Lepisosteus oculatus: one gene and its partners. The protein of the gene in region 3 purifies or fractionates together with the protein of the main gene of each other region. This does not show direct contact. Links are inferred from orthologs where the notes say so. Each region holds a gene or a part of one and is shown on either strand. Other genes may lie near its edges.

Evidence for each region.
Region 1: the proteins of stx7l (region 3) and napgb purify together in Homo sapiens (affinity purification with mass spectrometry; 3 studies listed by BioGRID and IntAct, counting the BioPlex papers as one, with this or other methods). This does not show direct contact. The link is inferred for Lepisosteus oculatus from reciprocal best matches to the Homo sapiens genes STX7 and NAPG.
Region 2: the proteins of stx7l (region 3) and vamp4 purify together in Homo sapiens (affinity purification with mass spectrometry; 3 studies listed by BioGRID and IntAct, counting the BioPlex papers as one, with this or other methods). This does not show direct contact. The link is inferred for Lepisosteus oculatus from reciprocal best matches to the Homo sapiens genes STX7 and VAMP4.
Region 4: the proteins of stx7l (region 3) and slc31a1 purify together in Homo sapiens (affinity purification with mass spectrometry; 3 studies listed by BioGRID and IntAct, counting the BioPlex papers as one, with this or other methods). This does not show direct contact. The link is inferred for Lepisosteus oculatus from reciprocal best matches to the Homo sapiens genes STX7 and SLC31A1.

Annotation. Positions count from the first base shown.
Region 1 is NC_090701.1:56,736,921-56,744,464, reverse strand, and holds the start of napgb (N-ethylmaleimide-sensitive factor attachment protein, gamma b), read right to left. Parts: upstream 3,016-7,544; 5' UTR 2,901-3,015; coding exon 2,845-2,900; intron 1,072-2,844; coding exon 1,004-1,071; intron 1-1,003. UniProt on the Homo sapiens protein: Required for vesicular transport between the endoplasmic reticulum and the Golgi apparatus.
Region 2 is NC_090704.1:31,384,796-31,392,122, forward strand, and holds the start of vamp4 (vesicle-associated membrane protein 4), read right to left. Parts: upstream 3,012-7,327; 5' UTR 2,794-3,011; intron 1-2,793. UniProt on the Homo sapiens protein: Involved in the pathway that functions to remove an inhibitor (probably synaptotagmin-4) of calcium-triggered exocytosis during the maturation of secretory granules.
Region 3 is NC_090697.1:4,612,033-4,620,028, reverse strand, and holds the start of stx7l (syntaxin-7), read right to left. Parts: upstream 3,012-7,996; 5' UTR 3,004-3,011; coding exon 2,992-3,003; intron 1,666-2,991; exon of another isoform or gene 1,629-1,665; intron 1,289-1,628; coding exon 1,165-1,288; intron 1-1,164. UniProt on the Homo sapiens protein: May be involved in protein trafficking from the plasma membrane to the early endosome (EE) as well as in homotypic fusion of endocytic organelles. Mediates the endocytic trafficking from early endosomes to late endosomes and lysosomes.
Region 4 is NC_090719.1:255,804-263,100, forward strand, and holds the start of slc31a1 (high affinity copper uptake protein 1), read left to right. Parts: upstream 1-4,295; 5' UTR 4,296-4,482; intron 4,483-5,229; exon of another isoform or gene 5,230-5,399; intron 5,400-5,910; 5' UTR 5,911-5,992; coding exon 5,993-5,997; intron 5,998-7,297.

The DNA of each region.
Region 1 (7,544 bases), on a different chromosome or scaffold from region 3:
ACACAATGATGGGCCGAAGAACTTCCGCTCGTTTATAACCTTTCACAGACGATCATGTAAAGGATCAGTTTTAGGAGTTACTACTTCTGCTATAGAAACACAAGACTAAAACCTTTTGAAAAGGTTATATCGTATGTGTGCTACAACCTTCGTTTATAGCACACACAAAAGAAATGTTCAGTTGCCAACCCACAGTAAAAAAAGGACTCAACTGTCTTGAGTGACATGGTCTTACATGTACTGTGCCTTCATTCATAATACCTGACACAGGCAGTCGAGGGGGATATGTGGGTTGAAACAAGATAAGATCACTTTATTGGCCATATACAATTTCTTGTATTATGAAATTGTCTTTTCGCATACCCCAGCTTGCTCTCCATGAGACACACAGACAGGGAGAGAAGCTGGGGGTCAGAGCGCAGGGTCAGCCATTGTACAGGGCCCCTGGAGCAGTTGGGGTTAAGGGGCTTGCTCAGGGGCCCAACGGAGTAGGATTCCTCTGCCGGCTGCAGGATTTGAACCAGCAACCTTCCAGCCACAGGCGCAGATCCTCAGCCACAGAGCCACCGCTCCACCCCATTTTTTATCGAAATGTAAATTCCAATATTTTTCTCCCAGTCATCAAATTACCAAAAGACTCCGCGGCATAACACAAAGTACATGCTGATTACACAGCAGCCATTTCACTTCAAAACATAGGGAAGTGCTTTTTTTTCCTGGAACCATCTTCAGTTTTCCATCAGATCACTTCTTGGGAAAACTGGGAAAATACTTAACGGCAAAAAATACAGCCCCCTTCCAAATATTGATTTCTGTCGCGTTACACATTGCAACAGTTTATTTACAGATCACAGAGCGGAAAATCCTAAGAGGAGCAAATACCCTTGCAGCTCGTCTTATAACACTTAGTTGCAATGAAGCGTGACTTCACAAATTCTACTGGTATGGATGATAACAGCAGAAAGAGATGTTTGATATCTTAGTGAAACACATTGTTTCTTACCTGCCTTTGCAAACTCTGCTGCGGCACTGTCATAATCAGGCTTCCACTTCATGAAGCTCGTTTTTAAACTATGACGAAAAAAGAATCAAGCAATTATTTACTGAATACTGTACGTCTCACAGAGGAAGACCAAGCCAAGTGCTAAATACAGTAGGTGGCTCAGGAAAGCTATCTTTGAAGCAATATCCTTTCCAATTGTTCTGTACCCAACCCATAGAGCATTATACCTGCAGTACACTATTAAACAGCAAAGGTAGTATAATTTAAGGTGCCTGTAAGAATCACATCTTCGTATTCTGGGGTCCTACCACCCCAACATTTTTTTCATTCCCACTGGAAAGAAATTCTCTTCTTTTAGTCTGAGTAACTTTTTCTCATCAAATATCAGATCCTGGAAGACAGATGCACCAGTGTGTGCTTGGGGAGGTAAAAGACAGCTGTCCCAGGACCGAAGTATTATTAGTATTACTCCTGTGAGGATGTTACTGCTATTGTTTTCATATTTTGAAAATACCGTATCCCATATGTTTCCTTCTTGATTGTTGGGACATGGAGTCAAAAGACCTTGATTTAGGGGTCAAATTGATGATTTGCCACTTAATTGTGCTTGCTATAGGAGACATCACAAGCTAAATACAAGAATAATTTTATGTATAAGGGACCAAACAATTTAGGCTTCGCTCCATCATAAGAAGGCTTACTAGGTTTCATAACAGCACCTGCCTAGACTGTGGGAGATTCATAAACTCTGCACTTTCATTTTGATATTTTGGCCCAGCTCTTCACAGTTATTCTATCAGGCTCCATTGTTATTTACTTTATGACTCATGTGAATCAAGGATGGTTTGTGAATGTGTTAAAAGTATTTGATTAAACTCTATGAGTATACTGTAGCGAGCTAATCTTGGTCTGTGAAACCAGCTCACAGACTATTTTAGCATTAGATAGTCCACAATCGGAGTAACCGTGTGTAATGTGAGCGAGACCACTAATAAATACGTAACAACGCACAATCTGAAATGCTGTTAAAATCCCCTGTACAGAAGTACAGAAGTGAAAGAAGCAAAAGACAACGTCCACACTGCTTTCAGAAAAATGGGAGTATTTTCAAGATCTATGTAATTCCTAATCCCTGCTGACGTCTCAGTAGGAGTATACCTCTAGTAAGGGGGCAATAATTCAGAGGCACAGTAACCAACAACAACATCATTTCAGCCAACAAGCTAGAGGTAAGAGCACCTCTAGCTTGTTGACGCTATTAAAAAAAAACACAAACATGTGAGGTTTATGAAGTATTACTGATTGCACAAGATAAATTTTCCATATTGTCTGGCGTTTTTCAGCAATTTCCTAACAAATGTTCAGACTCAAAATTCACATGACATGACAGCACAGGAAGTAAATCCACGTTCGCCCGTTGAATTTACCATAGGGCATGGTGGTAGATGTAGTATTTGAGATATATCGTGATCACAACAAGAGAGGGCAGAGTCAATGACAAGAACTACAATCCCTACAATCCTCGGTAAATGTTGCGCCATCTGTTTCACAGCTCTTGACCAATCAGCATGGAGCCTCCCGAAAGCTAATCCAGCCAGTCTTTTAAAAAAGGCGAAAAAAAAATAATCCGTGGGATAGAAACTAGAATAAGAAAATACATAATTATGAGAGTTTAACCCACGATAATTTAAATGTCTCGCTCGGTAAAGTACCCCTGATATATAATTTAACTGACACTGAAAAAAAAATTGTGATCCCAGCCTGATTGTACAAAACATACGCAAGAAGGGCTGCAGATTCCCGACCTAAATAAAGCAATCGCCGAGCACGATCGTCCTTACTATTTTTCCGCCTTAGCGATGTGTTCGTGTGCTTCATTGATCTTCTGAGCGGCCATGGTCCCGCGGCAGGGGGAAAACAGACCCAGCACAAGCACCTGGAAGCAGTGCCCCTCTGCAGAGCTGAAATATGACAGCGCTGTCTGCACAGACAGGGAGAGAGAGACGCCCCCGTCACTACGGGTGCCCGACAGGGACAGTACTGCTCACGGGCCCGGCTGCGCCAGCTGCGCCAGCTGCGGAGCTGCCCAGCTGCGCCAGAGTCTTCCAACTCAGCTCAGTATTTCTGACACGTCATGTCGCCTTTATTCAGCGAGATGCTAGGATTGTAGTATCTGTTGCCATTATAATTGGTGCCGACTAATTCTGCCTGCCCGTGTGTCGGTGTGTCTCATGTAGAGCAAGCTGGAGTATGTGAAAAGACGAATTCCTAATGCAAGAAATCGTGGCTGATAAAGTGATATCTAAAAAATGGTGACAGCCTTAAAATCATTTTTTTTTTAGGTGACACGTACCGTATGCCGTTTATCCACCAGGTGGAAGTACTGCACTGTGTTGATTTGTTTTGCCCGTGCGAATAAACTGCGCATAAAACGTACAACGACAAGAAAGGAGTGGGATAACAGTAACAGTTGTACATGGGGTTTAAAATCCGATATTAGTCAGGTGCTAAAGAACATATTACAATAGAGGTTAGAACTGTCATTTCAGTACTGCGACACCAAAAGAACCAGTAAGGATTAAGAAAAAAAATATCAAGAGTGACGCGAGAAGTTGTAGACCAATAAGCCTGACTTCTATTACAAATAAGGATATGGAAACAATTATTACAACTAAACTATGATCCTAGATTTTATTTCATATAGGTGAGCATTATGGATATAGACCTTGCCTAATCAGCTTGTTAAACGTTCTTTGAACAATTAACAACGGTAATGGACGTGCACAGAACATACAATATGTTGTATCCAAGGGAATGTTCAGGCTGTAGGCATTCAGAGAAAGGCGTGTGTTTAGACTGAAAATTAGTTAATAAATAGAAAAAAAGTACAGACGAGGGGTGAATGCTCAAATTGAGGAGATGTAATTAGAGGAGACCACCAGGGACTTGTCCTAGGACCTCTGCTCTTCATTTATATCAACGATCCAGGTTCTGGTACAATTAGTAAACTAACAAGTTTACAGATGATAGTGAAACATGAGGATTAGCAAATGGAATAAAAAAAAGATACATTTCAATATCATTTATTATTATCATTCACCTTAATGTTGTTGTTTAATGTAGATAAGTGAAGGTGCAGGTAGTGAAAACAGAATCTATCATTATCTGCTCTCAACTAGTCTTTTCACAAAATCATTAAATTCACAGAAAAAGTTTTGTGTGCGCCATTTTATAAATGAAACTAACAAGGAATTTAATACTGTATTGCTTTAAATCTGTCAGAGATAGCCTTGCATTTTTTACGTTGTAAAATAATCAGCTTTTGGCATGAGTTAATATATTATATGGTTTATATTTAGTTCTATAATTTGTAATCCATTGGAGCTGGGTATTATGTGATTGGAAGTATAGCCAGTCATGAGATATCATGATAATACCCAAGCAGAGGATTTGAATTAGCCTGTGAAAAATACTTTCTTCATAGTTAACATTTGCTCAATTATTAAAGAAAGAAAGTTTCGTATTGATTACAGTACCTGAAGAGGGAGCTGTGCAGAGGGCTACAGTGTTAAGGAAGTGAAAATAGAGAAAATGAGGGTTATCAGACCCTTTTTGACAACCGAGGAACTGTCTCAATCATTTATGAATGTGCAAATTTCTTCACAAATTTTACATTTTACGCAGTGTGCCATTCCTTTTTCAAAGCGATCGAATATTCTGTTGTTTTTTTTAATGTGGCCTGATGTAAAGGTTTGATTAAAAGGATCTTCAAGTATTCCACATCATCAGTTACCAGCATTCATTCTCATGTGAAATCAAAGGTTTTCATCTTTAACAGTTGGTTCGTGGTCAAATTAGCCAGTCCAGCAGTTTTGTTCATTTATGGCAATTGTTCATCTGCTTCCCACTCCTTGGCAACAAGTGAAACAGGAAAATTAAAAAATATCTTCATTTTGTGGTATTTTTGATGGACTTGAGTCTGTAAAAACCATACATTTCCTGTAAATAGCAGTTGACCAGGGCATTCCCATCATGCACCATTACTGCGCTGCCAGTTGCAAAGTCTGTATAATGTCAATATACCTATTCAGCGCACAGATCGGGCCTCTGTGTGGTTTAGAGGAGCATGGAGCAGACATTCATCATTTCCCTCGGTTTGCCCAGACACCACTTATGTGTATTCATGAGCTTCAGTGGGTCAGCCAGAAAAAAGAATATTTTCAGACATACTTTATCATCCAGTAAGGTTTACCAAACCCAAGTGTATACAATATTGTGATTGTCGGCTTAAATTGTTAAATCGTACTTTAGGAAACAAGACTTTAAAGGACACCAGGTTGTTTTTTCTGTAATCACAACACTGGTTGAATTAAACACTTGGGTAATATGTTTTTTTTTCCAATGCTTTTTTTATCATCCAGAATTAATACTTAAAATCAAATAAATGTCACATAATATCTATCCAGTTGGTTGCAATGTCAGTATTGTAACTTGTGAAAATGAATTGTCTTGTTACTCAGGGCTGCTAGGCTAAGAAAACATGCTGATTTCGCTAATTGGTAATTTGTTATAAAACTAAGGACAGAAACAAAATGTTGGATTTCTCCATAGTATTAATTTGAATTAAATTGAGTTTGATCAGTGTCATGCAATATACATTAATACTGTATATACAGAAACAAATAAAGGTTTGTTCCGTGCTGAAAAGAGAAGAAAAGAAACAGCATCACAACACTGACACCCGAAGAAGGCTCCACAGCCGAAAGGTTGTGTTTCCTTTCTTCTCTTTTCAGCGGGGAATAAATCTTTACTTGTTCCTTTGCAGCCTACGCATGCTGACGCAGCTCCTGTACCTACTTGAACTTCTGTAGATGCAGCACATTCAGACAACAAAGCATTATGAAGAAATCAGATAAGACAGCACATCAGTGGAGAACAGTACAATATACTTCCATGTTGTTATTTGAATTTGCGTTGAAAACACATGTATTGTATCTGTAAAGAATCTGAGAGAGAGAGCAACGGCGCCTCTGGATAACACGCGGTGGTCTTGCAGATCTGAAATCACTAGATGGCTCCCCTTGCACATTTTATTTAGATGCTCCAACTTGCTTTGCATTTAATCTGAGATCAAAATCTCACCCTTTTATTGATTCTTTGTTATGGACTGTAATATTCTTGTGTAAAGTATTGAAAAAATATTCTGTCAGCTGAAGAAAGGCTGTGTGATTTTGCCTGTGTATCTATGTTGCTGTGTGCATTGTGAGACAAGTGGTAATTAAAAGAGTGCCACTAGAAAAACAACACAACAGAGAGGGCATGAAGGGAAAAATCCCATTTCTTTACACAGGCAGGGACTGTGATTTTCACTTTGGACCAGTGCTATACATGGTTAAAAAACTGGTACTTTATCCATAGGTGTGAAAATGATTGTATAATGAAGGAGAATATTCCAATAAAACAATTCAGTTCAAAATCCAGATATAGATGTGTGTGAGTGTCGTCTACGTTTTAACAAACCGAACACCACACTTAAGACTGAAATCTTCTTGCTGACCTGTGTGTTTGCTCCCTCAGATCCCCAGTTGTGGATAGGTAAGACAACGCAACACATTGTAATGGCTTCTTAGACCAAAGTTTCTACGTTACACAAGATTCATCCTATCCTGAGTTGCACGTTTATGGAAAGAGAACGCAAAGGTCAAAATGGAATTGGAGGGCCTCTGCTGTCGATTGTCTGAGATCTGTTTCCTGCATTGTTTGAGGAGTGTGTGAGCGAATGCGAAAAGCCCAGGGCTCTGCGTGTTCGTCTGTGTTGAGTGCATGCACACAAGGTTTCCATCACCGACGTATAACTCACAGGCCAGACCTCAGGCTTCATGTTTCCAGTGAGGCCCCACCCAGCTCTGCTAGAGTCTTCCTGGAAGGGAGCGGTGCCCAATTAAAACTGAATTCAAATCATCACAGCTCACAGCTGCAAGGACACCCAGGATAAATAACTGTAGCCCTGCAGGACAGATCGAAGATCGATCTCAGTCTACAATCTTAGGAAACTTCTTGTGTGTGTAGACTGAAAACAACGATTATATCGAACATCCACAGTCACTTCCCTGATCGACAGTGAAACCCAGTGGCTGAGCTTCAAGCACACAGACAGAGGAAGGGGAGGCATTTGTGATTGGATGTTGTGAGTTAGATGTTAAATGTGGTTCCAAAACCAATATTTTCTAATAATAAATACTAAGAAGAACTACACCATGACCCTGTACTGAACTAAGCAGGTACTGAATATGGATATACAATAGTAATAGTAATAATCATTTCATCCAATTCAGGATCATCAATTTAGGGTGCAAGGTAGGATGTATCCTGGACGGGATGGCAGTCCATCAAGGGAACACACAGACATAGACACACTCATACCAGGGTCAGTTTTCCCAGAGGACAATTGATCTACCAGCATGTCTTTGGACTGTCAAAGGAAACTGGAGCACCCAGAGAAAACCTCCGCAGACAAGGGAAGAACGTACAAACTCCTCAC
Region 2 (7,327 bases), on a different chromosome or scaffold from region 3:
TATTTTGTTTCCAGCTTTCCTGGCAGGTTTTTTGGAAAACTGTTTTCCCAGGAAACCCTGAGAGGCCAGAAGCAGCCCTGAGTTTTCCAGTAAACAAGGAACACAACGAGAGAGAGAATGCAGAGAGAAGGGATACAGAAAATGGGACAGAGCTCAACTGGGGCTGCAGGATGAACTGGAGAGGACAGAAAACAGAGAGAGTGTGATGGATGGAAAAAAGAGAGATAAGGATCAAGAAATACATTTTATTCAAAACAACTTACACAGGTGACAAATGTGATGCATGGTCGTGTGGTTTACATGCTTGTAAAATCAGGAAAATAAAACACTCATATTCAACACAGCAGCAAGTATAACTAGTAGACAGGTATCTCAGGTTCACTTACTGCGAAAATAAATTGCTGTTTGTTACAGTGTTAAAATAATTATAATTGATGGTGGTGGTTTACTGCAAGAGATGCACCTTGCCCAAGGGTTAGAGTAAGCCTATAAAATATTTATACTGTAAATACCCCTTCCTATAAAGTCCCAATCATACAGACTTTAGAGATGACGTTTAATCAATAGCAGAGAATACCATGAACCTTGACTAATTAACCCTCCAAAACATAGTTAACCCAAGGGGAGAACTGGATAATTTCCCCCAATTCAACACATAAATGAAACACACAGCAGTCTTAAAGAGGGTTTTGGTTGTTTGCAGGCGTTCTCACTGGGTGCACCGATGCCCAGACATGCTGACAGTGATTACTCAACACTACTGATATCTACACAGAAAAGACAGGGCTGCAATGACACAACCTCCAGAGGCGTCTTCACAAGTGTAGCCACATGACTGCCCACACTGTCCCAACCCTTCCTGCGCACGACAGGAGTCTCCACCTCCTGAATTACAGGCGTGATGGAGGCCTTAAAAATCAGAGCAAGCTTACCCTGGTCCTGGAGAGTACCTGCCCTGCCCGGGTTACAGGTTCCTTTACATCACCACCGGGACAAAAGGACTGGGAAAAGCACGAATTCTGATCAAGCAAAGAATTGATCCCATTACATAGTTAGGAAATCAGGGTGTAATGAAAACCAGAAGACACAGTGACAGGCTTTAGCCACCCCAGACTGAAATAATTAAGTGGAAATGGGTCCAATTATGCTCAATTTAATGATGGCGCAGTAATCTCATGGTGGTGCGATGTGCCAGTCAAGGGCAAAGGGAAAACTCCCACAGCAACGACACAATGGCAGCTCACTCTTGATAGACCCTACCCAAGTAACAACACCTCACTTTTTCTCCTGATGATTAGTCTACGTTGTGGAGCAATCAAGAGTCATTGCAGCAGCGGTGGCCAATTCCGTCAGTGGTTCCAAGCAGATCAGCGCTTTCCAAGATTGCTGGGCTCCAACCATAACTCCAGATATCAGACACCTGAAGATATCAGCAGCGCAGTGCTGGCAAGACATGGCTTACTCACTTCCGTAACTGTCCCAGATGGGAAATGTGCTTTCCAGGCAAGTAAAATACATTGGAACAGGTAAAGTTTCAGTCCATGCTGAAAAGAAAATAGGCTTCTTCTTCAGGATCCACAGCTAAAACGCTGTGTCTTTTTGCTTCTCCTAAACCTAAACCTAAACTTTTACCTGTTCCTCTGCAGCCTACGCAGGCTACCTACTTGAAGTAAAACACATAACACAACACATACAGTTGCAGATGTAACACAACATGATCCCCTTAACAAATAAGAAACATACTTGCATAAGATGAGAAAAACAAGTTAGCATCTTAAATAAACTTTTCCATTTAGACAGAAAACTGAAACTTGATGAGACAGTTGCACAAGACACAAAATATGATCAAATCTAAGCATGATAAAAAATAAAGTAAAATGTACAATATCGGTTGTCCAAACAAAGCAGGTTAATAGCTTTGGGAATAATGGGTAAATTAGTTCTACTGCACCTAAATCTGGGTAGTCTAAATCCATATCCTGACGTACACGCTCATATTCACTCTGCAAAGGCAGGTCATGAGTCAGTGATTATACTGGTCTTCTGAAGTACTGGTGTGGTACAGATGTCTGGCAGCAGTAGCTGTTGTGCACCAATGACTTTACTGACTTCTTTCACTATCCTGCTCAAAAAGGAATAATAGCACATCAACCTTCCCATCCCAACTGAAAGGCCAAAACCCCACGAGTCTTCAAACTGACCTCTCAATCACTTAACTGCAGTAATTAACCATTTTAATTAGTTGATCCCTAGTCAATGAGTGCGGACTGCTTTATAACGACAAGAACTTCGAATTGAGACCACTGTTGTGTGATGACCGAGTGAAAGAATTTAACCTGCTCATGCTGGAGAAATACACCCTACAGGAGATTATAGTAGCACGTTTAAAATTCTAAAAATTGGACAGGAAGGAGTCAAATCTTGAAGACATTAAATCTTCCACGTCACACTTCGCACGGAGACCAGAACCAGGGAGTCTCAACGGAAATTAAGAGCAACTAATTTTAGTTCTGAGGACAGGAGGCACTTCTGTTCAGGAAAACCAGCCTGCGATCGATGGATGTGTCAGAAATTAACACCTGCACACACGTTGGACTAAAGACGAGTAAATGACCAATCTGTTCGACTTTTACATCAGAATGCAATGATAAATGTTCCTCAATTGTGAGGAAGAACCAAGGGCAGACGCCAGATGCAGAGAGGCACAAACCAGCAGTCGCCACTGTTTCAGTTTGAACTCAAAATCTGAACTGAACTCGGCGATGACAGGCCAGGGGACAAAGATCTTTATACCTGCGTTGTGTCTGACGTGTCTATCGGCCTGGTCCACTCGCAGTCCCCGGAGTTTAAACTCTCGATTATTCAGAAAACAACTGTCACTCTTCTTTCATCATTGAACAGCCTCTGAAAAAGATCTGACCGAATAACTGTGACTTCCAGCCTTGCCGGCCTGCAGCTGCTGTATCCGTAATTCAACTGGGAAACACTCTTCCTGTTCACTCACAGCTGACCGGGAAGCTAAACAACTGCCTTTCGCAGATTCTGTATTCACCAACCAAGCACGGGGAACTACGCCAGTCCGCAGCGCTGTGGGGAGCGTAAAGTGTTACGCAAAAAGACTAAAGATCTTCGCTGACGGGGTGTCACGTACTGGAAGATTTCCTGTTGCTATGGGTACTGACGGAGGAGAAAGCGGAAGTAGCGGGATCAGATTGTGTGGACCTGAGCATCGTTGGCATTTGTTTCCAAACGCCCCAAACTGCACAGTCTACTAAAGAGTGAAGGCTTTTATAAAGCTTTACTCTTCCGTAACGATCTGTGATGACGGCCCACTGCAGAGGAGAGAAATCTTTGAAGTGTAAATAAGTGGTTTTCGACAGCCTTTTTTAATTTTTTGATTAATATGATAAAAAAGAGTCCCATTTTCTTATGGAGCCGAACAGTTGTATGGGCCGAGTCACAACTGCACCCATAATGACCCACCATCCGGTCCCAGTGCAGTCACATCCAAATCTGATTTGTCATGTAACATCATCCTCGCAGTGCGTGTATAAGAGCCGATGTGACATTTTAATTAAACTCGAGACTTAAATTCAAGACTCAAAACATTCTTCTTTAGAATGGATTTTATTTTCGGCGTCCGCCCCTATGCTTTTCCACTGTATTCCAAATCCTTATTGCAATTCTTCAATTCAAAATACTTTATTCAAAATACTTCAATTACATTGAGGGAGGCAATTTAATTCTGCTCCTCTCATTGTGTGCTTTTTTTTTTCTTCTTGCTAGAATATGATCATTATTGGTGTTATAACGATTGACCGGGTACATATTGTTCCATCAGCAGTAAATCACGTGAAATTGTAGTAACTTGACCACCACCATGGTTTAAAGGTTCAGATGTAACGAGAGATGGTCAAGACATGGAAATCGTATCTGTGAGTCTGTATGTACACGGTGCGTACCAGTACGCAGTCCATTAAACATAACTGGAGTTAGAAATACTGGAGCGAATTCTGAGCCGTGGCAAAACACAGCCGTGAACTTCTTGCACGTCTCCGCAGTTTCATCTCCAGGGGGTTTGGCTGAATGGAGTCCAACAGCTGGCGCCCTGCGGAATTCTCTTGTCCGTAAGGAAGTTGGGTGAAGGTCTGTGGATAGCTTCCCAGCTTCCTGCCGGGCCTCAGATGCGATATTAACAACCTGTCTGACTTGTGTTTGTGGATTTAGAACGTGGTATGGATGGGGAGGTCATGGAAAAATAAAAACAATAATGATACGAAGGAATGCTCCTTGCAGTGGGTTTATGAAATGAAGGCCAGATTGTTTGTCCCACGCTGCCACTGTGTGGGCTTTGCTCAAAACAGTCTTGATTTCATTATCCGGCAGACCGCTTCCAGGCCAGCAGTGCAGCCTCACCACATCAAACAGGGAGACCGCAGCAATCGATGGTGATGTTCCCGCATGGCCCGATGTCGCACGGGATGGGACGAGAGCCACAGGGTGTCGACTGGGGCCGGTGTCACCTCCCCACAGCTGTCCAGTCCAGACGTGCGTGGGAAGGCATGTCAAAAGGGAGAGTGGTGGGTGGGTGTCAGTACAGATCCTCAGGGGTTCAACAGCTGTCACTGCTGCTCTCTTATGAACAGAGCGCCTTTGTGATTGTGTGTGTCGATTGACCCTCTTCACAATACTAACCATTCTGTGGCCCCTGTGCTGTGACTCAGTATTGCCTATTCCCTGCAATCTGTGTGGCAGATGTAGTCCATTCGTGAGAGCTCAACACCAAAGGCATTTCTAATACCCTAAAATTTCCCCCTTTTCTTTCTTCCTAAGGTACAAGACGTACTGTATGGATTCCCTCTTAATATGGATTTGATGGATTAATCTGTTCATGGGCACTGTACAAATGAAGCAGAGGAAAAATAAACCTTCCTGTAGCCGTCAGAACTCAGCTGAGAACAAATGTCCATTTACATTTGAGACCTGGCCAAGAGACTCACAGCAGACTTGCAGAGAAAACAAAGCAGTGAAAGAATGAAAACGGAAATCAACAAGAAGTTGATGATGCAACAGGAAGTAGTGAAATGGGATGTGGTAATGTCAACAAGAAAACAAATTAAGGAACCAGGCCGAAAATATTTAATTGTGTAATTTAAAATGCTCTCGGATATGAAAGTGGACAGTTTCAGCACACCTTTCATCTTGCTCCTCTCACAATAACGGTGGCAAATTGAAATGACTTGGTCCTAAAGTTGGGAGGTTTGGTTTACTAAAGCATGCTACACCGTAAACGATGAAAGACAGGAAGGTGTTTCCCACTTAAAGATCTGTTAGTTTTAGTGGTGATTCATGTCAACCAGTGAGAGGAATTTTGATGTTAAATTGCATCTCGAAGAGATCCTGTTTCAGCCCAGCCGACTGCCTGCTGTCCCCTGATGGAAAAGGCCCAAAATGTCTACTGGGAGCAGGAGGACAGTGCTGACGTGGACAGGCTTCAGCTCCTCCTGGAGCAGGGAGGGACAGTGCTGCCCTGGGTGTCAGGCACCGTGCTCATCTGTTTAGAAAAGTGTCTTTAAACTCATGGCTTCACCTTGTTCTTAGTTACTTTTTTTGAGGGTCCATCACAGCCACGTCTCAGTTATTGTTCCTTCCATAGTCCCTTGTTTTGGATATTTTGAAGTTCATCTTCTTCAGAAGATGTCTGATGGACGGGCTGAAATCTGGCTCTACCCGCTCGGGTGAGGTCTGGCCCCCAGGCTGTGGGATGAGGAGGCTGGCACCTCCATGCAGGGGCAGCAGCACAGGTGGAAATAGCTGGAGAAGGGGAAGAGGGATTTGGGTATGATAGAGATCTAGAAATAAAGCTTTGAGAAGAGAGGTTGGGAATGATGATTTAGCACAGCTGGGATGAAGGACTTGGTTGTCATCATCTCTCCCAAAGCTAAGAGCCTTTAGTTACCCTTTCATCCTCACAAGGACAGGGTCCAGAGCCCTCCTGAGGGGATCCACCAGCCAGATGAGCATTCACAGATGACAGATACAGCTTTGGATCTCCTCTCTCTAAAGCTTAAGGAAAAAATACTCATCCATTCCATTAGACAAAGAGATGTTGGGGCTCTCTGGACAAATTTGGTTGCATTGTTATTGTTTTGGATGGCTTGATAGTAGCATTGCTGCTTCACAAACCCAGGGGCCCTGGGTTTGATTCCAGGCCTGGGGTGCAGCCTGCATGGAGTTTATGTTCTCCCTGTGTTTGTGTGGGTTTCCTCCCGCAGTCCAAAGCCATACTGGAAGGTTAATTGGCTTCTGGGAAAATTGGTCCTAAAGTGTGTGTGCACCTTGCCAGGCCAGGCTCTGGCTCCAACACAACCCTGAAGAGGCTGAAGCCGTTAGAAGAAGGGTGGGAGTTACTGTTTGATGTTCCAAACAAAACTAAACAAGCTACAACTGCGCTAGTGTTCAGAGTGTGTATAAACTACCCCCTCCTCCGCTAGCTCTGACAGGCGTCTTCCAGACCTCAGCGCTGGAACGTCTCCCTGCGAGACGTCGGAAATAAACTCCAGAGCCGCGCTCTGATGAGTGGAGCAGACTTCCTGATCCTTTCCGAGCTGGGAGGTAGGAGGGAGGCCTGGAATAGGCAGCTCTCCTCGCTTCTTTCCAAACACAGAAGAGCAGTCACCTGTTTTTAATAACAAACCGTGCGAGTCCAGGAATACTGTGACTGATATGTCCCAGATGGTCTCCCTTTTTCCAGGCCCTGGGGGCATTTCTTTGGGATAGAAGTTTATTTATCACAACTCCTCCAATCTCCACTCCTTCTCCCCCTTTTTTGAGGATTCTTGATGAATGTGGTGGGGTGCAGATAATTTTATGTACTTATTAAGGGCTCATTCAGTTTTTGTGTTAAGCTGGATTTACATGAACACAAAAATGCAAATGCGAAGTTTTGTTCCTGCACAGTAGAGTTCCCAGCAGGCAACCTGCAACATGACCTATGGCCTTCCCATAATTCATTGCAGCTTCTGGAATTGACAAGAGCTGAATAGGAAATAGACAACACTTCCATCCTGAAGTTGTGCACTGAAAATAAAAAATTAACTTGTTTTTTAACCAATACATTTTATACTAACAAATTCAGAGTACCGTTTTGTGACAATGCCATCAATTAATCACAGCCCCTGTACGTCTTCAGTGTAAGTTATAAAGTAAAGATACAATTTTTCAGACAGCGGACTCCCGTAGGAAGTTGGAAGAGCATGGAAACATTACTTTTAGCATGTGTGTGCAGTGAAGTTTGTTCTAACAAAGAATATATCAATTCTGGTTT
Region 3 (7,996 bases):
TACCTTTTGAATTAATATCTTATTGTTTCATTGCAACATATCTCAGTCAAATTTCAAAAGTGGGGAAAACAGAAAGCATGCCTTAAGTTTTCATTTCAGACAACTGAAGCTTTTTCACCGTGGTGTTAATCTTATCACCTCCATCAAAAACTGTAAATGTGAGTACTTCTCACATCTCAACGAGTCAGATTTTACAGAGCACTCTGACAAAGAGAGCAGATGCTCTTGCAGAAGCATCTGAACACCCACATGCAATCTGAACAACAATGTGAGCACTTTGCCTCTAGATAACCACCTTACTTCTGCGTGAATCAGAAGCTACGTGTGACTACTATTTCATTACAGAGCCCGGGAAATAAACCACAAATTCCCAGGTCTTGCTTCAACGATATTCATCGCTTTCACAGCAGAATCTAACACAGTCGTCTTGCCCTCAGGCGGTCTCTTCAAGGCAAAGCTTCTTGATGGAATCTACAGCGAGTTCATTTCATGTTGCCCTGACATCTGGCAAGATCCGTTCAAACTCCAACAACACTGCCAGTCAACACCACACTCCTCTGCAAACCCATTCTGTAACTCACTGGAATTCAGTAAATGGGCATTTTGATAGGCAGTGGCCTGCAAAACAAAATTTTACATGTGCTATTCCCTAATATTCCTATCTAATGTGTACAAGCAGTTTGGCTGAGTCAGCGACTTCTGTAGTTTTATCTAACTGCAGTGTGAAACAGACATTTTACACTCACTCTACCACCATTTTCAATGTGGCTTTATCTTTTTTTTTTTAACGGTCCCAGTTTAAGCCACAAATCTATTTTAAATAACCGCAAAAGGAAACTTTAGTTTCCACATAATGGATGTTTCTAAAGAGGAATTAATTTTTAACTGGCAAAAAAATACGACGTCAACTTGTCTTATGCAACCTTATCAGAACATTTACAAAGGCATTGCTTGGATTAAAAAATGAAATAATCATAAATGTACTGTACATACATTAAAAAAAAAAACATTAAAATAACAATAATATACAAATATACAGCCAAAGATCAAATTTTAATTAATAATAATAACTTTTTCCAGAGACCACCAGGGGGCCGCTCAGTTGGGAACCTCCAGCCTAGGTTATTACAGTACATATCCTGACCATGTAAGAAAAACACTTACTTTGGTGGGTTATCTTTTGGATGTTAGAGCTTATGGCCTGTGCCAGCTGATTTGCATCCCGAGGTATTCCAGATTGGTAAGACATTGCAGCATCAGGTGTTTCTTCAATTTTTAAAAGGCACCCTGGATGGAAAAAAGAAAACTATAATAAATAAATGTAATAACACATAGATATTTTACTTCTTGGAACGTACAGATTCCTTTACACATTAATGATTGGGGGAACTGTGATATCCTCTGAAAGGTCTAAGTGAAAAAGTACTGAATTATAACATAGTCATTTACTAAAACAGCAGCACTTAACAGGACGTTTTGTGATGACATTTTAAAATGTGTAACGTTTAAAATACAGTCATTTTTATAGAAATATTAATGTCACATGAAATACTGTGGAATTTTTATTTACCAGACCTTCCTCACCTTACCTAAAATAGGACAACTTACAGTGTTTAGAAATGTTTTACCTGAAGCGTACTCACAAAGGAAAGAGTAGACTGGATAACAAGCTGGTACAAAAAAACAAAATGACAAGGAAAAGACATTAAGGAGAATGTTGTAAGAGGAAAGCAAGTGCCACTCAAAAATAAAATGAAGTAATAAGCAAGTACATACAAATACAAAACGGTAACATATATACCGTTAAAAATGGCAGGATTCAATCAGTGAAATAATTATTCGTCCCCGGCTTGTAAGTGATTTTCTAGCCATATACCTGAGCGGCAAAACATGTTACTCTATGTACAGTATTTACAGACAAGGCATTTCAGAGGCCTAGCCTTCTGGTCAACCAGAAATCCCCAGACTGCTCCTAAGCACTAAACTCTTAATATGCCTACTGAGGCCACAGCAGCCATATCACTCTGCAACTCACAAAGGGCAGCCCACTGAAGCTAAGCAGGTGTGAGCCTGGTCAGTACCTGGATGGGAGACCTCCTGGGAAAAACTAAGGTTGCTGCTGGTGTTGAATCAGCTGTGATCTGCCACTTGGGGGACACTGACAGCCCAGATTACAGCCTGCAAGGTCTCGACCAGTGGCCACCAATTATGTTCCTTAGAGAACCGCTTTGAACGATATGACAGTGAAGTGCTGGAAAAGACTTTGCTCCATGTTAAACTACCCCAATGACACCCACGTCACTTATTATAATTATACAGTGTTAAAAATAGAGTTGTATAAATTGACAAAGTAAAATCATATATATATACATAAGAATAACATGCTCACCAGCCACATTACTAGTGTAATACTGTATACTGTAAAAGACTGGCAGAATTCTGTTGCACACAAAATAATTCAGCTATATAAACAACCACAAGAGGCCATAATTTATTAACTTTATTGAGAACCAAGCATGGATAGAGCTCTGCCACTTGCAACTTAAGTTTATGTTGCGCACAATCAGCTCATTTAAAAAAAACAACAACTTTTCACTCAAGTTCTCCAAAAAGTTGCATTTCACTGATGGTTTCTCCATGCAAGTAAAGCAAACATTACCGTTCCTCTCAAGAAGACATACTATCTTTGTCATAGGATTCACTTATTGCAAGAAATAAACTGAATCTCTCAGACCTAAAAATTTAACTGTTTTCTTGGCAGTACTAAGAAAATACGCCTATTCCTATTAAGCAAGAACATAGATATATTATTATAACAATGTTGGGAGACTTTTTCTCATAGCAAGAACTGAATGCTGGCAAATACAGATTACGTTTCCCATATTTTCACTGCGTTTCATACTGTACCTCCTAGGCACATTACTGTGGAGGTTTACAGCTTTGCAGAGTGCAGCCATTAGGCTACAGTGTGCAGGTCAGATTTGCATTTTCCTGATCTTGCATGAAGCCAAATTTGTCTAATCATATTTAAACACAGACATCTCTTTTCTGCTGAAGCCACTCCTCAACAGCAAATCATACAGCAGGTGCATGTGTGCATCTTTAACTGATGCTCTCATGTGATTTAAAACTGAAGTTTGGATCTGTTGGGTACTAGACCATAGTACCCCATTTGTGTTCAAAACTAACAAAAATGTCTTAGTAGCCCATCTGTTCTAATTCTGATGTATTCAAAGCATGTAGTGAAAAATCAAGGCTGGATCTGACAATGTTAAACTCTTCAGAATAGAGTCAGCAGTGACACAAGCTTGGGTATCCAGCACGGGAAGCCGTTTCTCCGACAAAAGCAGTTCCTGCAGAGAGAGCGTTTAAAAAAATGGAAGTCTAAACAAAACATTCCATCTCAATATCAAGAAAAAACAATGCTGAAACAACTGAATGATGCGTACTGAGTATTATGTGCATCAAGAATGAAGTATAAACTCGTATTATTGCTAGTGTTGGATATCCTAACATGTTAATACCTGTTAACTGATGCATCCACCCACAATAAGGAAAGGCCTATTAATTATAATTATTACAACAAGGACTGCAAGATTATACCACATTTCCTTTTCAGCGAGATTCGTTCTACAAATTCTTCCCAATACTAAGGGAGTCCTTCAAGGTGTTTTTCCACGGTCTTTTCAGCCAATAGCCGCCGACTCTCATATCCATATTCATGTTGATGACAGCCATCTTACAATCACCTTACTGTCATTAACAGTCAACTTACAACTCTGTCTCAATAAAATTCAGTTTAGGTGAACTGCACTTTCTCCTAAACTTGGCTTAAGTTAGGGTATCCCATAGAAACAATTCAAACTCCTCCATTAGTTACAATTGCTAAACAAAACTTGAAGCAAACAACCAGGGGGGCCCACGTCAATCAGTGAGCTTGCAGTGGAGGCATCTGTACAAGATGTTTCCTCACTCACTACTCACTTGACACTCTGTTTCTTCTTATCTTTTCTTTCACCCCCACCCAGCTATATTTCACACCCCACACCGCACACAGTCACCACACTGTCTTTTTCTTGGTCTTTCAAACCAACGCTCACAACAGCTCTCAGGCCGGCATGTCCTCTCCCCTGCCAAGGTCCTTCCAGTGGCGACACGCCAGCCGTCCCTGGGTGCCAGAGAGCCGGCGTTCGGGCAGGTAAACCCCGTTACTCCCCCGACACAGAGCTGGGGTCCTCCCAGCTGCACGTCCCGCTCCTACAACTTCCACCCACTGGGCGCGACGAAACAGGAGAGGAGCCCCACTGTAGTCTGAGCAGCAACCCCCCACAGTTCCTTCCTTTTCTGCAGGAGCTGTTCCGGGCCCCCAGGCCTGCAGGTCTTCTGCATGGGCACACTGTTCACTTTCGCGTGAGCTGTGAAGTGGCTGTGACTGACAGCCCCCTGCGATCCTGGGCACACCTCTTCTCTGGTGCCCCCGCAGACCCCATACAACCAGCCACGAGTTTCTGCAGCCTGCAGACCGACCGCTGTCTAGCCTTACGGCCCTGCTGCCAGTTGTGAGTTGCAGTGGGTTTCACCCACGCATAGGAGGTCTGGGAGAGTTCCCCGACAAACACGGCTGCTTTGAAATGAGCCGTTGTCTTTCTCCGTCTCTCGCAGAGAGAATCCTTGCAGTGGCCCTGCAGAGTGTGAGAGCCAAGCAGGCCCTCTCTGCAGTCCCAGACCCCAACAATCCCCTCAGAAAAGTCAGACAGGCTGTTTACAGTCTGCTTACAGGACCACCCACAGTTGTGACTTATCAAACCATCAATTCCCTACAGCTGCAGCTTCCGGAATGGACACTGGCTGATAGCCTGTCACAATATAAGAAGGCTCCACGGCCGAAACGTTGCGTTTTCTTTCTTCTCTTTTCAGCAGTGGACAAACCTACTGTATTACTTGTTCCTGTCACAATAATATATACCACCCTATATCATATCAAGATACGACACCCGCACTCAATTTTGTGATTCTTTAGTTTTGGATTAACTGCCTCTCTCAACATACTGGACAACTTCACTTGTTTAAATTCATTTACATTACTTGAATTGGGAAAATACATTCTTGTCTTCATTGGTCCAGTTCTTTGCACTAGTCTATAATTTAAGACATAGTACCTTTATCTGACTAAACCTCCCACAGGTTATTACCCTCTGAGTTTTTTTTCCCAGTTTGTAGCTACAGATTGTCCCAGTCATTGGCAGAATAAAGCTTAAAGTATTCACCTTTGTATCTGTGGGCATTTTCAAATGTATGATTAAATGTTTGCCACCTGATGTTACAATGTAAGCCTCTTGACCAAGTAGTAATTATAAATGAGAATGAGGTAAGCTATAAATCCTGTAAAGGCACAATTCCCACATCCCCAATCCCACTTGGTTTCACAGGCACTGCAGAAGCATTTATTGCATATTGTTTGGTTTACAAAGCTAATGAACAATTTCCTTAAGCCACCACCCAAACTGAAAACTTAAGATTGTCAGAGCTCTAGTTCATGTGAAAGCACTATTAATGTATGTTGACTAATAAAATTAATTGACCAGGAGTTCCTAAGATACTTACAACATTATTGCACAACATTATGTAAGCAGTTAGTGCAAATAATTAATGATTCCTAGCTCCCAGATTCTCTTCTTAAAATTTCACGGGACCTCCTGAGTAAAAAGTAGTGAGATCTCTCAGCTGAGCACAGGCTAAGCTCTACAATCACATGTTCGGGCCTGGATCAGGTCGCTAGCAAACTGTGACCGGGATTCAGTAAGCTATGGCCTACATTTGACTGAGCACTACCAAGGGGTAGTGTGGGTTTAGTTGGCTGGGGCTCTTTCTGCAATTACAGACACAGTAGTCCCTTCCTCCTCCCAGGTGTATGCAGGCACATGGTGCTGTCGGTAAGGGATGTACCTCTCCTCCAGCTGATTCGCAGCCTCTGACATGTTGAAGAATAAGTGGGTCAAAGGTGAGAGGTACAGTAGCTTGAAGTCTCCCTACACTGTCATTATCCCCTGTGTGCAGTTGCGGGTTTTTACCAGCAAGTCCAGATTTTGGGGAAAAAAACAACAACTGGCCATTTCAAATCGAGAGGATATAACAAAAAAAAGTTGATACTTAATCGAAAAAAACTAAGTAAATATGTGTAGCAGATCATGTCAGGGAATAAACAATCTAATCAAATGGTACAATTAATCAATGTTCCCTGTGATATATTAGCAGTTGCTCACTAAGTGTAATATCGCCATACCGAAATTTGAATGGGCAAAACAAAAAGAGTGTTGGAGAAATTTGCCTGCTTCCCCTAAAAAGACAGCCAGGCATCCGTCTCAGAAATTAGAAGAAGTTTTTATTTCATGAGCATGGGAGCAAAACATACAGAGATGCTCAGTGTATTTTTCTCCAAGTGATTAAATTAGAACAGTCCTTAAATATTTTTCTGTTATCTCTCATGCTTCCCAGCGCTGATCAGACTGGCAGCATTCCAAGATCACACTCTTCTTCCTCTTCCCTATTTGCCAAAGAGAACTTCTTTTAACACAATTGGTTAGTTACATAGCACGCTTTCATACAGTATATAACACAGTATAGAATTACACAGTAGCCCTTGTATCCAGCATTCTTCCATTCCAGTTCAAAGCAGCTCTGTATGTCCATCTCATAAAATACTGCAGCTTCAGCAGAAAAAGTGTGTACTAAGTACACAGAGACCCTCACAACAAAAGGCTATTTGGATGCCAAATTCCAACAGAAATCAACATAATTTTAATGCTTCTTGAGAACAATGTGAAATGGCGGCCATATCACCCTGCAGCTTGCAACTGGCCGCCCACTGAAGCTCGGCAGGAGTGAGCCTGGTCAGTACTCGGATGGGAGACTCCTGGGAAGCTATGGTTGCTCCTGGAAGTGATGTTAGTGGGACCAGCAGGGGGCGCCCACCCTGCGGTCTGTGTGGGTCCTAATGCCCCAGTATAGTGACGGGGACACTATACTGCAAAAAGGCGCCGTCCTTCGGATGAGATGTAAAACCGAGGTCATGACTCTGTGGTCATTAAAAATCCCCGGGCATTTCTCAATAAGAGTAGGGAGTTATCCCGGTGTCCGGGCCAAATTCCCCCCCCCGGCCTGTACTGTCCCCCTGTATGATCGCCTTGCACTTGCCCTGAGATGGACTGGCGTCCCGTCCAGGGTGTACCCTGCCTTGTGCTCGTTGCTTGCCGGTAAGCGGTTTGGTAAATTACATGATATGACATGTAAAATGTGACTACAGTCACCACACACTTTAACCAAAGTATCTGTCCCTTTCACTGTCTAAAGAACATGAATCTGTGTAATGATAAAATAACAGACTTCTGCTAGAACTGAGCAGTATTTGCCAGTTCAGGATTTTGCGGTATACTTCATTATTCTTAAAAAGAGTTAAAAACACTCGAACTTCAATCCTTTTTAGATTTGATAGGGATTGACTGATATTATTGTTAATTATTTTCCCTTTATAAAAATATCAGCATCAGTTCAAGTGGGCCAAAGCCATTCCACATTTTGCAGTGCATCAAACCCACGCAGAAGAACTACAGAGCTGATAATATTTGACAAATTCATTGACTTGCAGAATAAACCAATCTACCCACAATCCTACTGAAATAATCATTCTTTTGAGGTTCCAAAGTAGTTCCAAAATAGCAAAGGATGGATTGGAAATATTAAGGAAATAATTATGAGTTCCTAAATATTAAATATAATCTGGTTGTTCAAGCTTTTTTCTGATTTAAAGAAGTGCCAATAAAGCATGACTAATGTTTAACTATTTAAAATCCCTATAAAAATCCTGTTTAATAACATTTAAAATTAAATTTGATAAAATATGGTACATAGGCAAGAAAGTCAGCAGTCATGAGATTAAATACAAAATTGTGACTGTCTTCTTATGTCTTCTACATACATCGATGGAGTTTTAGTTATT
Region 4 (7,297 bases), on a different chromosome or scaffold from region 3:
GACCAGGCCGGGACAGGCGCTGCTCAGTGCTGATCTCATTAATCCGGAACCCACAGCACACCCTCTAGCCTGATGCAAGGCACCACGTCTTAGCAGTGAATTATAAAAATAATGTAACCAGCTAATAATGGTATCAAAGATTATTTCTTACATGTACAGTTGAATTAATTCACCTTATTCAGAAATACATTAAAACAGATCAGCAGTCCGTTCTTGTACGGTTCACAAAACGTCGTGTATTCAACTTGCATGTTTAGTTTATCCAGATTTGACTCCAGGGAGCTCCACACTGTAACTTAGGCTCCATCTAGCGACGGAGAACCGCATTACCTCGCAATCACTATTTCACATTGATATCTGCTAGAAATGTGGATATCATTTTGTTCATTCGTTTTCATTTATAAGAAGTTCTTGTCATGTGTGTGCATATGCGTACATTTTGTTTGGCAGACGGGTGTTGTTCAGTTTGAAAACCAGTCTATCCTTTATATAACTTTTCACGGAAATCCAAGCCTTTTGACTTCCAGCGAGTATCGTATTAAAGCAAGCAAGCACGTCACACTTCAGACTGTACCCTTGGAGATCTCCGCAACACGGCCCACTGAGACGTGCGGAGCTGCACGGACTGCGGTGCATTCCCCGGAAGATCTGAGCTGGACCTGCTGATCCTGAAAGCAACAGCGTCTTTAGTTTCGCTTGATGTTTATCTTCGCGTGGCTAATTTAAACGTTATTTATATTTCTGTTTGTAACACAAGAGACGTGACAAAGGAAAGAAAGCCGTTTAGAAGCTAACGATCCACGCCGTTTCTTGAAAGAAGTCAATCCTTCAGCAACCGGGCCGGACAGGTGTTCCCTGTTCCGCAGCTCTTTGTGTAAAGACTCCTCCTGTACTCAGTTGTAAATCAATCTCAGTTGCATTTCCAAATAGTTTCCACTTGCATCGTCTAGTTTCAATTTCACATAAGTCACGCTGATTAGGTACAATGTCAACATAACATCCCGTGATTCATGTTCTACACTTTCAAACATTTATCGTAGCACTTTGTTTGCCGTTTGTATCACTTACCCACATTGCCTATAAGAATTAAATGATGCATCACTATAAACACCCAATTCTTCATTAGTAGTGTCTTGAAGCAGTTTCCCATTTCATATTTATAGTTTATGTTTTTGGTATTCACAATTAAATGTAATCTGCCGGAAAATACATTTTATTTTATTTTTTGCCCTCCCTTGAATGTTCTCCAAGTCTTTTAAAACGTCTTTTGCTGCTTATGTAGTATTTGCTATATAGACTTGTATACTTTAATATCGGAACATTGATTGTTAGGAAAAGCCAGACTTGTCAGATCTCCTGTGGTACTGCACCACTCTGAGCATGCACATATCTGTACTGTGTTTTCTATTGGCCGATTCTGTGATGTTTAAAAAACAAAAACACCTGTTCCTGCGCTATTATGGATACTGGAAGATTCACTTGTAAGAGAAGCCAATGATGAACTCTATAGATATGATTGTGCTCTCAGAGGTCCCTTGTTTTCTTATACAAATAGGAAAACACGTATAACAGGTTTATTATCTGTAAGAATCCACTATTGTCAAAAATCAGAACAAAAGTAGTGCATCACTACTATTAGTGATTGTCTGCCAAACTATCCTACCAACACAAAACTCTTGACAGCTTTTAAATTCAAATATGCAGATGAGAATGCTGCAAAGTATTAAACAGAAACATTCACACAGATACAGGTCTCCAAAAATCAATTAACCTCATGAAATCAGGCTTCACGATGCTTTTATTTTATTTTGCGTAGAAAATCTGTTGCAGATGGAATGAGCTGGTAACTGGTTAAATGTCAGCCGCTATAAAAACCCAGAGTCTGCTTCTTCTCTTTAAGAGCCGGTGGAAAGACTGTAGGCAGTACTAGTGCACAGGAGTTACTGATGATACTGGCATCTGCATCAGCTGGTAATCGTAGCTGAAGCACGCTGATCACTTTGATTGTGAAGCACAACAGATGTCACAACAGTTCATCGGGTTAGGTGTTTTCTTTTAATTTTTAACCATGTTCCCGAAAATGTATTGCTTGTGTACTCCTTTCATTGGTGAAGAGATACCAGTTTCCAAAATGCCGCTGGTTCAACACGAGAGCCCATATTCACATTTTTAGGTATTAGTTTCAAGAGCGATATAATTTAACAATTAAAAACAACATTGAAAGCACGAGCATAACAATATAATGATCATAGACTTTACATTTCTATTCATTTTTGAAGTACAAAGCAGGTGTTTCCTCTACCTTAAATATACGATTAAAATTGTTCAAATACCATGTATTCCTTACAGAACATGTCGCGACATGATATGACATACCCCGACAAAAATGCCCTGTCCTATGTCGCGACATGGAGTCCGTATATCGCGATATGACATACCCTGACAAAATGCCCCACCCCCATGTCGTGACATGGAGTACATACATCGCGACACGTCTATCTGGGTATATCATGTCCTGATATGAGACCTGTTGCGATAGCTGTGGCAGGGTGGCATGGAAGCAAGGCGCCAGTCGTGATATACACTGCCGCGATATACATGCGATATACATGGGGTCCCTATCATGACAAGCTGCGGAGGTCTTGCCCGATGGTATCCCACAGTTACGCGTTTGGCAACAGGAAAAGTCACGGTAGGAAAAGAAAGGAAAAGGAAGAAAAGGAAAAACAGAGATCTTACAATCACGGTGATTTTACGTAAATTACAGCCACAGGTTCATGTCATAGATGGTTAACTTGTCGGCATGCGTCATGTCTTAGTATTATTCACATCTAAGGAGGCTCATATGTTTATGGATATTGATTGTCTTTATAATGTTAATGGTACGAGCTAAACTGTAACAGAGCGCTTGAACTCGGCAGACGGGGTCACTGGAGGTCAAAGTCACTGTGTATCTCGGGAACGAAAGCAGCACAAACGCTACTTTCAACGGCACAAACCGGCACAAACGTAGCGCTAACGAATGAGGTGGGTTTCATCGTTTGTGCTGTCTGTAGGGGGGGCAGCTTCACGGAGCTTTTAACTTGCCTTTACGTAAGGATTTCAGAGGTTGGAGTAAATGCATCGCCCCAAGGGTAATATCGAGTGAGGCTACATGAGAATAAAAACTGCGAAGGTATAAAAATATTAAGTTCTAAATTCTTGGTTGATCCTTCATAATGCTTTTAAACTTGTATGTGACCCACGAAATTAGTATTTTTTTCGATGCCAAAACCTAATTTGGAAATTCACACAAGACTTAACACTGAACTGTTATAGTCGCATTACAGTGCTGACCAATCCATCGTACCTTTAATTTTAAGAATGGTCTGCTAATAAAAGCGTCAAATACATACTTAGGATGTATTTTAGCGCTGTAAACGTCGTTCACTTAAAAATACTGCAGGGCATTTAGAGGCGATCTGAATAATTATCTGTAAATGCATACTCGCATCTATCTGTCAACATTATCTCAATGTTATTCATGCATTCCAAAACATGTAATTTGTTTACAGGAGATATTTTAGGACCTCTTCGTGCTTAACTCCTACAGGTCGAGCATGTATCTGCTGCTTGTGTTCGGGAAGCCAGGCTGTACTCCTCAAAACCCAAGATGCCTGTAGCATCTCATGTGTCTTATTTGTTTCGGGACTGGTCTGGTCATCTACAGGCGGCTTTTTGAAAAGCGTAGATACACTTGATCTTAGCCAAAAGGCCGATATTTCCCCAGAAATCGCGTTAATTACAATGAAATACTGATCAAAATTAATAGAAATATTGTATTAACAAACTCGATGTAATTATATATTTCAACGTCAGCATTGATTAATTGTTTAATCCAAATTATACCATTCTTAACCCAATTTTAAAAACAAGGTTTTATTTCTAACTTTTATATAAAGTTGTTCCAAATAGTAAATCTATGAGGGGAAAAGTTATGTTTACACATAAGTGACCACGTTAGAAGTACGTTTATGAAAACTAGGAAGTTTCAAGGGGATTTTTCCAATGTCAAAGTTACACTTAAGTAAAAACTCTATACCCCTAATTCTTGAAATATCAAATTGGGGATTATATGCCACATACTTTGCTAATTATTTTAATAGTTTTGTATCCATTTAATCTTAAAAATAGCATTAGATGTCCTAAAATCTAAAGCATTTAAGCCCCCTTCTGCCTGTGGACGACAAAGAATCTATTTTTTAGGATATTGCGGTTTTTGCGTGTGTACATGTGGCAGAGCCGGAAGCCGGTGAAGTCCCGTGCTGCGGACACGATGATTGGCGGATCGCTTGCAGCCTGTGTGTTACGTCAGCTTGCTGCTGCGAGAGGTGTCTGGGTCCTGGGACGGTGTCGGCTGGTCTGGAGAATTTAGCCGGTTCGCTTTGTGCGGGATTAAGCGGAGGGGAGAAACAGGCACTATTGGAGGGTGTTCTGGCGAGGGTAGGTATATCCGATATTGGGCCGTGTGTGTGTGTGTGGGATGTGGGGAGACAGGAGGTCTGTTGTCTGCAGTTTGACCTCTGTTCTTGTGCGCTTCTTTATGACGATCCTGAGTGCCAAGCGGCAGATGTTCGCGTGTGTTAGTGAGCGCTTTTTGATGATGAGTTTACGTAGGATGTTCAGGGGGTTTCTGTGAGTTTGAGCTTTTTTAAAAAAATAACAGTCGTCTGCTGGCGTTTGCGGATGAACTGGTTACTGGTTCCCATTGGAGATGCGCAGTCCGCACACCGGTGTGTGTGCCATCTGAAGGCGAGAGCCGTGCAGGATTGCATCAGCGCTTCTGCGTCTCTTCATATCGCTGTCAGATCGATGCTTTTGGAGAACATTAAACTGCTCCAGTCGTGCTGTATGTTCTTAGGAAGAGAATCGCTGAAGTGTAATGAAACCGCTCTCCAGAGGGTGCGGGCAGCGCTGTGTCAGCTCTCGGAGTCCCGACTGAGCAACAGGCACGCTGGCCTCCTCTGACCCACACCCCAGGTCACAAAGGGAAGTGGGGGAGACCACACAGAGCCCCAGCACCAGCCCGAAGCACACCATACAAGCTGTGGTTGGAAATTTGTTTTGTTTTTTTTTAGAAATAACCTTCAGGTCCTGCTCTGGTATTTCAGTGTTTGTATTTACTTTTGCGCAATTTCCTGTTGACTCTCACTTGCAGTAAGTACAGTCTGCTCTGGAGGGTTAGCGCCAAAGTCAATACTACACTGTTTACCTCCTAGCTGGGCTCAGGTTAGCTGTAGTACTTCCAGCTCAGCTACAGTGACCAGCCTGTTTTTTCATGAAGCCGAGAAGCCGAGGTTTCTACAGGAGTTTCTTCTTTCTTATGTGAAACATGGCCGTCTGCTGGGAGTCTGGTACAGGTACAGCAATATCGGCACTGAAAAGGGAAACCTTTCATGTTTTGTATTTAGCCAATTGCTATATTTCTATATAAAGAGGCTCAATAGAATTGTCAAGGCAAGTGCTGAGTTCTGATGCACTGAACAGTCTTGCAGGCAGGCTTGTCTGGTGTAGATGAAGAGAGCAGGAGTACGGGCTACAGTGTGGGCACTGATGAGCAGAGAGCAGGAGTACAGGGAACAGAGTGGACACGTCACAGTGTGGGGCGGTGCTCCAGGCTGTGTAGTCTGTGGGTTCAGTCCCAGATGGAGACACAGCTGTAGTCTTGCTGGTGCCCAAGCTGCTCCAACAAACTGAACACCAAACAAACAGGAAACACTAGTCTGTAAAAAAGAAGTAAAAGTAGACACCCATACATTTTTTCTTATTAAAGCATTACTCATATTAAAAATACTCAGATTGAAGTTTTTCTCTGAATTCTTTGGCTGTGTCCACATATCCAGGGTTATTTACAAGGCATTTTTCCACCAGGATCAAGTTTGCTCTGGCACTTAGGGAAGTGGTTGGAAAACGGTAGGGGTGCAGAGATCTCCAGGAATCCAATCTACCGGAAATGAGGTTGGTGGAAAAAAGAGGAATGAAATGAGTGTTGTATGAGTCAGAAACCCGGAGTGTGCCGTGGGCACCAGTGCAGACTGACCAGACCAGGTCTCCAGAGTCCCGCTCTTCAGGGGAAGGTTTGTCTTTCCGTTGAAGTGGGTCTCTGAATGAGCAACTCCTGAGGTCAGAGCTGCTGCTGACTCCCACCCAGGCAGAAGGTTTGTGTTGTTCAGTCAGTAAACGCCGAGCTGTGTTTTAATTAATGCGCTGTTGTCGTGGAACTTTGCAGTAGGGAGCTAGGATTGAGCCCTGCAGGGGGTCAAGAATGAGTATTGTGTGTTCCCTTTCTGACAGACTGGATCAGAAAGCTGCAAAGGGAGGGAAAGCAGTCTGCTCTTGATTAAGAGCTGTTATTTACCCAAGGTCACAATTTACCAGCACCACAATGCTTCTCTGAGGTTTGGTAGACGCTGAATCCCTGAGACTTGTCTGCATTTCAGTTCTTCATCACACTGAGCTCCTAAAACACTTCCCACCAGCCCCTTTCAGCACAGCATTGGTCCTTCGGGGATGTGTAATTTCAGGGATGTTCAGGAATGTTTTTTGGTATGTGGAAGCTGTAGGTACTGGCACCCACCTACATCATTTATATAACACCATTATAATCTCAAAATTGTTGCAGTTATAACATTATGCCTGTACTCAAAGCACCAATGACCTTGCATCTGTAAAAAGTTCTTTATGTTTAAAGCACTTCTTTTGTTAACAATACGTCCTTGGGATAATGACACGCAGCGCGTAGACTGCAGGCAGCTACAAATTCAGTTTTTGAAAACAGAAAGGCTAGAAAGGAAAGCCATCTCGCTGCTGGAAGAGGGGGTTGGGTGGGATTGAGGATTGTAACTTCTGTTATCTGGCTGTAAAGAGGAAATGGGCGGAGAAAGAAAAAGGAGAGAGAAACTTTTTCTTCCTTTCATGCTGCTGTATGGTGCCTTAAGTTCAGTCCTGAAATAAAGGCCTGGTGTTTGCTTCACCTCTCTAGCCTGGACTCTGATTCTTTTCCTGGCCTGCTGAAGAGGGTTACACTCATCCATCTGCCTTGACTGTAAACCAGAAGCACACTCAGGGTCAAGGTCAGAGATATAGCCCAGGAAGCAGTAACCAGATGGTCACAGAGGGCCTGTTTCTTGAGTGCTCTCTTGTGCTCTGGAGAGGAACTGATCTGTCTGCTCGTTGCAGTGAAACTCATTACATTCCAGATTATGAATAAACGGAACACAGATCTGCAGGGGCCAGAAAAACTCAAAGTTGTCAACAG